3 linked regions of the Saccharomyces cerevisiae S288C genome follow. Each later gene encodes a partner of the first gene's protein in a complex. Each region holds a gene or a part of one and is shown in the gene's direction. Other genes may lie near its edges.

Evidence for each region.
Region 2: the proteins of SWD3 (region 1) and SET1 are in contact, whole or in part, in a cryo-EM structure (PDB 6BX3), measured with the Saccharomyces cerevisiae proteins. Residues at the interface, in NP_009734.1 of Saccharomyces cerevisiae: Lys15 (codon at 1,722), Thr52 (codon at 1,833), Ser53 (codon at 1,836), His54 (codon at 1,839), Ala55 (codon at 1,842), Arg56 (codon at 1,845), Pro57 (codon at 1,848), Ser59 (codon at 1,854), Glu60 (codon at 1,857), Asp75 (codon at 1,902), Asp76 (codon at 1,905), Phe77 (codon at 1,908), Thr96 (codon at 1,965), Ala97 (codon at 1,968), Pro98 (codon at 1,971), Ile100 (codon at 1,977), Met116 (codon at 2,025), Asp117 (codon at 2,028), Ala136 (codon at 2,085), His137 (codon at 2,088), Ser138 (codon at 2,091), Glu139 (codon at 2,094), Tyr159 (codon at 2,154), Asp182 (codon at 2,223), Trp183 (codon at 2,226), Glu186 (codon at 2,235), Asn187 (codon at 2,238), Val190 (codon at 2,247), Gln194 (codon at 2,259), Leu209 (codon at 2,304); in NP_011987.1 of Saccharomyces cerevisiae: Lys812, Ala813, Gln817, Ile818, Leu820, Asn821, Leu824, Phe825, Asp826, Ser827, Gln830, Gly832, Ser833, Ser834, Phe835, Lys836, Ala837, Glu838, Phe840, Arg841, Lys842, Lys848, Arg944, Trp950, Lys986, Asn987, Gly988.
Region 3: the proteins of SWD3 (region 1) and SPP1 are in contact, whole or in part, in a cryo-EM structure (PDB 6BX3), measured with the Saccharomyces cerevisiae proteins. Residues at the interface, in NP_009734.1 of Saccharomyces cerevisiae: Thr49 (codon at 1,824), Leu50 (codon at 1,827), Ser85 (codon at 1,932), Tyr86 (codon at 1,935), Gly87 (codon at 1,938); in NP_015187.1 of Saccharomyces cerevisiae: Lys206 (codon at 2,367), Leu332 (codon at 2,745), Arg336 (codon at 2,757), Gln339 (codon at 2,766), Gln343 (codon at 2,778), Glu346 (codon at 2,787).

What each region holds. Positions count from the first base shown.
Region 1 is NC_001134.8:580,729-584,003, forward strand, and holds SWD3 (Swd3p), read left to right. Parts: upstream 1-1,679; coding exon 1,680-2,627; downstream 2,628-3,275. Other genes in the region: SMY2 (Smy2p), read right to left, coding at 1-644; UMP1 (Ump1p), read right to left, coding at 998-1,444; ECM31 (3-methyl-2-oxobutanoate hydroxymethyltransferase), read left to right, coding at 2,992-3,275. UniProt on the Saccharomyces cerevisiae protein: The COMPASS (Set1C) complex specifically mono-, di- and trimethylates histone H3 to form H3K4me1/2/3, which subsequently plays a role in telomere length maintenance and transcription elongation regulation.
Region 2 is NC_001140.6:344,401-348,158, forward strand, and holds the start of SET1 (histone methyltransferase SET1), read left to right. Parts: upstream 1-1,642; coding exon 1,643-3,758. Other genes in the region: ORC6 (origin recognition complex subunit 6), read right to left, coding at 1-1,228. UniProt on the Saccharomyces cerevisiae protein: Catalytic component of the COMPASS (Set1C) complex that specifically mono-, di- and trimethylates histone H3 to form H3K4me1/2/3.
Region 3 is NC_001148.4:290,861-294,178, reverse strand, and holds SPP1 (Spp1p), read left to right. Parts: upstream 1-1,751; coding exon 1,752-2,813; downstream 2,814-3,318. Other genes in the region: protein phosphatase regulator GIP3, read left to right, coding at 1-1,362; UME1 (Ume1p), read left to right, coding at 3,128-3,318. UniProt on the Saccharomyces cerevisiae protein: Component of the Set1C/COMPASS complex that specifically mono-, di- and trimethylates histone H3 to form H3K4me1/2/3, which subsequently plays a role in telomere length maintenance and transcription elongation regulation.

The sequences.
Region 1 (3,275 bases):
CCCTGCGTGTCTATGTACCTCCAACTGGATTCAACTGAAACTGGTGCTGGGAGTTGTGACATTCCGTTCATGCTCATATTAGGAGGAATATCAGAGGACGGAAACAAATTGACATGAGATTGGGCAGCAGTTGGTGTACTTAATGGAGTAATATCTACCGCCAATGAATGTGTACTCAGATTCACTCCAAGATTAGCAGCATAACTAAAGGAGGAGGAGGACTCGTTTCTTTGCAATAGTGGATGCTGCTGAACAGGCGTACTAACCCGTGATTCAGGATGGTCGCCGTGCCAAAAAGAGGAACTCATTACTCCCGAACTTTGAGGAATAAAAGGCTCTTTCATAGAAGAAAATGGTGACGCAGCACGCTGTATACCAATAGAATCGATTAAGGAAGACGTCCTACTGAGTGGATGTCGACCTCCTAAAAGAGGTGTATTGGATCTAAACGTCGATCCAGGGACTGTATTCACGCTTGCAGCAACAGCACCGTTTGTATTGTTATTAACGCTCGCAGGGGAGGAATCCAGGATAGTAGAAACACCGTGTGTGTTATTGTTTTCTGTATCGACTGAATCTAGTTTTAAGTCCTTAAACTGTTCATCAAAGGAACCGAATAATCTTTGCGAGTCTGGTGCTATCATTATTGATGTGGGCTGAGAAGTTGAGTATATAGGGGAGGAGGAAGGAAGGTAAAAGCTCAAGGAGTACGAATGGAAATGATGAACTCGAAGAGACCACTGAACTGCGTGTGTGGGTATTTGTAGTATTGTGAAAAGTTCCAAAAGGCCCATCAAATCAAATCAACCTATAAGTGGAAATATGAAAAATTTTTTTTTTTTTCAGTGCGACTGAAAAAAAGGCATAGGGTAATTGCGGACTATATAGGACACTAAAAATATAGTGTGGCACAACTATGTAGTATAAGTATTACGGCACTAATCTAATCTTTTCAATGGTTTACGTGACAGATGTATAAAGAAATTGAGAGCAATTTTTAAATGCCTAATTGTTTTTCGATTTTGCTGTGGACGTCATCACCTACCATGGTGCTGGCTTGTAGGCCAGTACCAGGGTAGACGTCCTCCCAATCGATGCTGCACTCTTTGTTCAGTAGTATGTCACGGTGTATACTACCGTTTGTTGAAAGGGGGTTGAAGTCGGTACGATTGACGATTTCCATTTCCATCGTCCTTTTCATTGGTTCGGCAATGCCAAATATTTGTCGATACTGTTCCATTTGTCTTTGGCGCTGTGTGGTTTCCCAGTTCTTCAATGTTGATTCTAATGGATGTCTGTCATTCAATTGTGTGGAAAGAGGTACTGCACCGCCTTCTTGCTGGCGTAATGTGTCTGGCAAGGAGGGCACTGCAGATGAAAGAACACTTTTGTCTTGATCTGTAGAGACTTGAGATTTAAAGGTATCTTGTGGGACGATATTCATAGTTGGTATGCAGGCTGTTTCTGGTCTTGTCTATTTAATACTCATTCCCTCTCCAGTGAGCAGGAAACTACATAATATACTTTAATAACCTCAGGTAGGATAAAATTGCCACTGCATGGTTACCCGAGGAGTGAAAAAAGCAAGACCATAAGAAATGCTTGTGCATCACTGGCGGTAGATATTGGAAAGTTTGAGCGTAGGCTCATTCATTTGCAAGTGGCCATTATATGCTAACATGTTCCAGTTTGTTACTCCTGTGGGAACACAGAATGGATTGAAAGCTACTTGTGCGAAAATATCTCCTGATGGGCAGTTTCTTGCTATAACACAAGGACTTAACATCCTGATATACGACATTAACAGACGAACTGTATCACAAACACTAGTCACATCACATGCCAGGCCTTTCTCAGAGTTATGCTGGTCTCCAGATGGACAGTGCATAGCTACTGCATCGGATGATTTTTCTGTGGAAATCATTCATTTATCTTATGGGCTGCTGCACACTTTTATCGGCCATACAGCGCCAGTGATATCTCTGACATTCAATAGAAAGGGGAACTTGCTGTTTACATCCTCAATGGACGAAAGTATCAAAATATGGGACACACTGAACGGGTCTTTGATGAAAACAATATCTGCACACTCAGAAGCAGTTGTGTCGGTGGACGTACCCATGAATGATTCATCCATTCTGAGTTCAGGTTCATATGACGGGCTCATACGGATCTTTGATGCAGAGACGGGCCATTGTTTGAAGACATTGACCTATGACAAGGATTGGAAAAGAGAAAATGGTGTGGTACCCATCTCCCAAGTTAAGTTTTCTGAGAATGCAAGATATCTCCTGGTGAAATCGCTGGACGGTGTAGTGAAAATATGGGATTGCATCGGGGGTTGTGTAGTTCGTACTTTCCAGGTTCAGCCTCTTGAAAAGGGCGTACTGCATCATTCCTGCGGTATGGACTTCTTAAATCCTGAAGATGGATCCACTCCTTTGGTGATCAGCGGTTATGAAAATGGCGATATATATTGTTGGAATTCTGATACAAAAAGCCTCTTACAGTTGCTCGATGGTTCTTTATATCACCACAGCAGCCCTGTAATGAGCATACATTGCTTCGGTAATATAATGTGTTCCCTTGCATTGAATGGAGATTGCTGTTTATGGAGATGGGTTTAAAGAATCTGCGTTATGTACACGACAGACATTCCCTTAAGGTGTAACACAAGAGTATATATAGATATATTATAGACGTTTAAAAGTTTTAAGGGATCGGATTTTCAGCCAGATATTTTTTACTTTATTCTAATTTTTTTTTTTATTTTTCACTGCTGCTGTCTTGCGTGATGAGTAAGATATCCTAAAAAACTACTAAGGGAAGTTCGGGCAGCTTTCAACATTAAGTGTTCACATCTCGAAGAACTCGCGCCTTAAACCAGCCTATACAAAAGCTTAGTACAGATTACCTACTGCATTGATAGCTAGCATCTGTCTTGTTAATAAATTAGCTTGCCATAAAATTAGGGAAATTTTTACTCACAATATGAATATAATGAAAAGACAATTATGCACCTCCTCTAAGCGATTTTTTTCTACAGCAAAAAACGTTGTCAAATATAATACGATTCAGGATATCAGGAACAAATATTTTACTGGTACGCCTTTGTCGATGTGTACTGCGTATGACTTCATTACTGCAACATGGGTTAACAAGGCTAATTGTGATTTACTCTTAGTCGGAGATTCTTTGGCGATGACTTCATTGGGGTACGATAGCACAATTACACTATCCTTGAATGAGTTTAAATATCATGTTGCCTCTGTGTG
Region 2 (3,758 bases), on another chromosome or scaffold:
TGGTGGTTTGTAACATCGATCCCAGTTTCCTAAATATAATTTCATCGTATCTGATGCCATCAAAATCATCATACCTAATTTGCAAATCTCTGAACCATTTTTCACCGATAATTAATTCCTTCACTAATTTTACACATTCAATAACATCATCCACTTTTGACGTCAACATCAAGCTGCACATCTTACTGACTATAAAATGGTCAATTCTTGGATCCTTGCGTCTTCTTTCATTAAATACAATGAATGTACAATTTAATACTAACCCACACACTAATTGCCATGGGCAAACCAATCTTGACGCGTTTATGTTGTACTCATCCACAATTTTATATGCTACTTCTCTTGGTAATTCAAAATCGTTGCAAAGCCGTATTATTTCTTCAGTAGTCATTTTGCAATACTTCTTTACTAACAAAGAATTTGGTATTCTGCCCCTTTTCCTCAGGGCTTTTGCCGTCTTCAATTCTGATTGCGGTTTTCCAACTGCCTTATTTTGTTTCGTTCTCCCGCTTCTGCTTTCTTGCACACCTAATGGCTCTTCCTCACTTGTAGGGTCACTTTCATGGTTTTCATACTCATCAGAATCTACATTTCTGGTTCCAGTAATGCTCTTATTACTATGGCTTTTTAAAGACAAACCGTCGTTTCCTGGTTCCTCTTCATCCTCATCCTCATCCTCTTCAAATGCTAACTTTCTCCTAGTAATAGACGGCGATTCATTGGTTTGCATGGGGGGTAGTTCTGGTATTACGAACGAATCATTATTTTGGCTTTTCCTAACTTTAGTTGGTGTACCAAACAGTTGATTCCTCAACTCTTTCGGATCAGAAGAAGTAAACCTCCCACCGTTCTTTACTGGACTGCGTTTGTTCTTTTTGGGGCTCGGTGTCCAAGCAAATTGTTTCATAGGTGAAGAATTAGATAAACTTTGTCTGAAAAGGTTCATTAAATGCTTGGCTTTTTTCGGCTCCAAGGGAATACTGTCTATATAATAGCAAAGGTCAGGCATGTGTTTTTCATTCATTTTCTGTGACGCTATGTATGCACATATGTGACATCTAGCAACCTCTTCATCTTGTTTCAGCATTACCTTGTTCAGTGAAGTATTATATAAAATCGATGTCGCATTAGTCAACTTCTTCAAATATCCGCTCGACCAGTCCGGTTTTTCTTGTGGATCTAGTCGAAGTACTTCTGCGACACAATGTTGGACTTGTTGCATGGACATGACTGGTTTTAATGGTATTGTTTTGGCCAATTTTATTTACTGATATTGTACACTTTTTTCTGCAATTTTAGTGTGAGATTTTTTTTTTCAATGCCGATTTCTTACTAACGTAAACAACGGCAAAGAACAAAGAAATACACAGTTTTATCACAAAGAGTTGATTTTTGCTGAAGAGAAGCGTGAGGAGTGTATTCGAAAGCCTTGCATATTCTGGACACTTGCGATTCTAGCTCTTTACGGACGCCCGCATTCTTTTTTCATACTCTGTTTCGTGCTGCTTTCACACAATATTTTTCAAAAGTTTCTTCTCATCGTTTTTCTGTTAGCAACCCTCAACTTACGAGAGAGTTGCGACTAGCATAGGTAACATTCCTTATTTGTTGAATCTTTATAAGAGGTCTCTGCGTTTAGAGAATGTCAAATTACTATAGAAGAGCACACGCGTCTTCTGGTTCATACAGACAACCCCAGGAACAGCCTCAATATTCGCGTTCTGGTCACTATCAGTATTCAAACGGCCATTCTCACCAACAATATTCTAGTCAATATAATCAACGTCGACGTTATAACCATAATGATGGTACAAGGCGACGCTATAATGACGATCGCCCACATAGTTCAAACAATGCAAGTACGCGACAGTACTATGCTACTAACAACAGCCAAAGCGGCCCATATGTAAATAAGAAATCTGACATCAGTAGTCGGAGGGGCATGTCTCAATCACGGTATTCAAATAGCAATGTTCACAATACATTAGCGTCTTCGAGTGGATCTCTTCCCACAGAATCTGCTCTGCTTTTGCAACAAAGACCACCTTCAGTTTTGAGATACAACACAGATAATTTGAAGTCTAAGTTTCATTATTTTGATCCCATAAAAGGCGAGTTCTTCAATAAGGATAAGATGCTTTCGTGGAAGGCTACAGATAAAGAATTTTCTGAAACAGGTTATTACGTAGTCAAAGAGTTACAAGATGGACAGTTTAAGTTCAAAATAAAACACAGACATCCGGAGATAAAAGCATCCGACCCACGTAATGAAAACGGTATCATGACTAGCGGAAAAGTGGCAACCCACAGAAAATGCAGGAACTCACTAATTCTATTGCCTCGCATATCTTATGACAGGTACTCCTTAGGGCCTCCCCCTTCATGTGAAATAGTTGTCTATCCAGCGCAAGATTCAACAACAACCAATATCCAAGACATATCAATAAAAAACTATTTTAAAAAGTATGGAGAAATTTCTCATTTTGAAGCATTTAATGATCCTAATAGCGCTTTACCTTTGCATGTTTATCTTATAAAGTATGCCAGTTCTGATGGAAAAATTAATGATGCAGCAAAAGCAGCCTTTAGTGCCGTTAGAAAGCACGAATCTTCGGGTTGCTTTATCATGGGCTTCAAGTTCGAAGTGATTTTAAACAAGCATTCCATTTTGAATAATATCATTTCTAAATTTGTTGAAATAAATGTCAAAAAGCTACAGAAGTTACAAGAGAACCTGAAGAAGGCTAAAGAGAAAGAAGCAGAAAACGAAAAAGCAAAGGAATTACAGGGCAAAGATATTACCTTGCCCAAGGAACCTAAGGTAGACACATTATCTCATTCGTCCGGAAGTGAAAAAAGAATTCCATATGATCTCTTGGGGGTAGTTAATAACAGACCTGTTTTACATGTCTCCAAAATATTTGTTGCCAAACATAGGTTCTGCGTTGAGGACTTTAAATACAAGTTAAGGGGATACAGATGTGCGAAATTTATTGATCATCCAACTGGTATCTATATTATTTTTAATGACATTGCCCATGCGCAAACATGTTCGAATGCAGAGTCAGGAAATTTAACAATAATGTCTCGGAGCAGAAGAATTCCTATTCTAATAAAGTTTCATCTCATTCTCCCTAGGTTCCAAAACAGAACTAGATTCAATAAATCTAGCTCATCTTCAAATTCTACAAATGTACCTATAAAATACGAGTCCAAAGAGGAGTTCATTGAAGCTACAGCAAAACAAATATTAAAAGATTTGGAAAAGACTTTACATGTTGATATTAAGAAGAGATTGATTGGTCCTACGGTATTTGATGCTTTGGACCATGCAAATTTTCCTGAATTGTTAGCTAAAAGAGAACTAAAGGAGAAAGAGAAGAGACAACAGATTGCATCTAAAATTGCTGAAGATGAATTGAAACGTAAAGAAGAAGCCAAAAGAGATTTTGATTTGTTTGGTTTATATGGTGGCTATGCAAAATCTAATAAAAGAAATTTAAAAAGGCATAATTCACTCGCGTTGGATCATACTTCTTTAAAGAGGAAAAAGCTATCCAATGGTATCAAACCAATGGCACATTTACTGAACGAAGAAACCGATTCCAAAGAAACTACCCCATTGAACGATGAAGGGATCACTCGCGTATCAAAAGAACATGATGAAGAAGACGAAAATATGACATCTTCATCTTCTGAAGAAGAGGAAGAAGAAGCTCCAGATAAGAAATTCAAGAGTGAGTCTGAGCCAACCACCC
Region 3 (3,318 bases), on another chromosome or scaffold:
GATTCTCCCGTTCAACAAACTAACACAGACGGCGACTTGGATAGTTCGAGCACATTGGACGTTAAGGGCCAATTTGCTAAAAATAGTTTTTCATCCACACTTTACGCATTTGCTAGAGACTCTCCAAACTTGATTGGTTTAGATTTTGACTATGATTTGATATCAGAAGAGATTCAATCAAGAATAGCACTGTGCTTGATGAGAAATATGAAACGGACCATGGATTCGACTTTCCAGTTAGATGAATTGGATTCGCAAGATGATTTGCTATTCGATGGCTCTTTAGTAACTATGACCGCTGAAAGTGTTTTAGAAAAACTGAACTTGTTAAGCGATAAGAGTACAAAGGTCAAAAAAGACACCACGAAGAGATATTTGCTGAAAAAATATATTGAAAAGTTCCATATCTTGCACCATAATGTTCAGCATACAATAGATACTATGTTCGAAAAAAGGAAATCAGGTGAATTGCCATTGCAAGAAAAAGAAAACCTTGTAAGATTACTCCTTTTGGAACAAAACTTATGCAATATACTAGAATTGTTTTCGCATAATCCGAATCTGAATGATGTCCTTGGATCCAGCAGGGATGATTCGAAGGAAAGTGTTGACTCCAGCGAAGATTCAAAATTACCAGCATTGAAGCACGTTGAATCCGGATACCATGTTCCCGAAGAAAAAATACAACCTGAGAATGATGTAATTACAGCAAGACCACATTTAATGGCCACCGATTCTGGTAAAACTATTGACGTTTTCACAGGCAAACCATTGGTGTTCAAGCATACATCATCTAGTACTTCTGTAGGTTGTAAAAAGCAGGAAGAAGAAGAAGGTGAACTACATAAATGGGGTTTCTTCGTTCAGCAGCAGAGGTCTTTATACCCTGAAAATGAATCAACAAGGCAGACACCTTTTGCATCAGGTGATACGCCTATCAACACAGAAACAGCTGGTAAGTCAACTTCATCTCCTTCAGTTTCAACTTCTAACAATGAAACTGCTACCACTAGTTTATTTAGCCCAGCTAATCCTAAGATTTTACCAAAAATTCCATCCGGTGCTGTCTTAAGATCGGCAATCATGAAGGCTAAAGGTATTGATTCTATCGATGATTTGATTCAGAACGTTAACTCCAACAACATAGAATTGGAGAACATTTATGGTGAATCCATTCAGAATAGCGCTTCGACATTTACACCAGGCGTGGATTCTGATGTATCTGCGCCCAATACCGATAAAGGATCCGTAGAAACATTGCCTGCAGTCTCAACTGACGACCCAAATTGTGAAGTCAAAGTCACTGCTACCTATGACAAACTATTAAATAATTTGTCGATGGAGAGGTCAATCAGACTTTGAAGATACATGAATCCTTCTCTTCACTGATGGATCCATTTTCTTCTTCCTTTTTTTCACTGCATAAAACTTTTTTTATCAACCTTTCATATTTTCCATATTTATTTATATATACCGCCAGTAAATTTGGCGATATTCGATAGACTTAACAGATAAACTTTTTAAGATGAATTAAAGCACAGAGGATTAAGCTTACCTCTTTAGAATCAATTGATATGTTCGGCTACATATTAGACACTGCATATAACCCAAGGCGGGTAAAATATGAACAATTTCAATTGGGCTTTGTAAATGCTTACTTTTAAATGTAAACGAAGCTCATCAGAAGAAAAAAAACAAGAGATTTGGAAAAGGCTACTTCGACCTCAATAATTTCTCAGCCTATCTTTCTAATGTCATTACCACAATGGTGTCCACCGCATTCCACCTTAAAAAGAAATCCAACTACAGGAGAGGACGTATACTGCATATGTAAAAGGCCAGACTATGGGGAGCTGATGGTGGGATGTGATGGTTGTGATGACTGGTTTCATTTCACCTGCCTTCATATTCCTGAGCAGTTTAAGGACCTGGTGTTCTCTTTTTATTGTCCTTACTGTCAAGCGGGGATTACTGGTAAGAATAAGGACGCCATAATCAATGGTGAAGGGAGCTTGCCAAAAACCTTATGGAAAAGAAAATGTAGGATAAGTGATTGCTACAAACCATGTTTACAGGATAGTAAATACTGTTCTGAGGAACATGGTAGAGAATTTGTGAATGATATTTGGTCGCGATTGAAAACAGATGAGGATAGAGCAGTCGTCAAGAAAATGGTCGAACAAACAGGACACATAGATAAATTCAAGAAATTTGGACAACTGGATTTCATTGATAACAATATAGTTGTAAAAACAGATGACGAAAAGGAAATATTCGATCAAATTGTTGTACGAGACATGACGTTAAAAACTCTTGAAGATGATCTGCAAGAGGTTCAAGAGATATCGCTACCATTATTCAAAAAAAAGCTAGAACTTTTGGAAGTATATTTGGGATGGTTAGACAACGTATATACCGAAATGCGCAAGCTGGACGATGATGCTGCAAGCCATGTGGAATGTGGTAAAGAAGATTCCAAGGGGACAAAAAGGAAGAAGAAGAAAAATAGCAGCAGGAGTAGGGCTAGGAAAAATATATGTGGCTATTGTTCTACATACGAGCGAATACCCTGCTCTGTGGAAGAATTTGTCAGAGATTTTGGAAGTAATGAGGAAGCCACCAAAATACATGAGGTATGCACGAAGTGGAAGTGTAACAGACATTTGGATTGGGTGTCTACTAATCAGGAACAATACCTCCAGCAGATTGACTCTTTAGAATCTATGCAAGAAAGGTTGCAACATCTGATACAGGCCAGGAAAAAGCAACTAAATATACAATACTATGAGGAAATTTTAAGAAGAGGTTTGTAACGGCGTTGGAGCCTAATCAAATATCAGTTTCTACATATATATATACTTCGTAGTGATGATATATCAATTGGAGCGTCCTTGCATAGGCAACGCCTATTTGGATAGTCTTCAATTTCGACCCCATTTCACGTGAATAAAGCGGAGCTATCTCTGTTTTGCAAGGGTTCGGCCGATTTTGCTGCGAAATTTTAATAAGCGCATATTGATTTTTTCAAGCAATACTTTGTATATTCATGATCGAATGAATGAAAAAGCACCACTCCTCAGCCGCATACCTTCAGTATCGTATTTATTTCCTTCTTTAATCACTTAAAATGAGCACTTTAGATATTGCAGAAGACAACAAAATAAAAAATGAAGAATTCAAAATTTGGAAAAAATCAATACCCTCATTATACCAACATATTTCAAGTTTGAAGCCTATCTTTGGCTCAGGCGTTGACGAATCTCCATCGACACTTAGGAGTATAGTTTTCACTAACGATAGCTCATGTAATAAATCCAA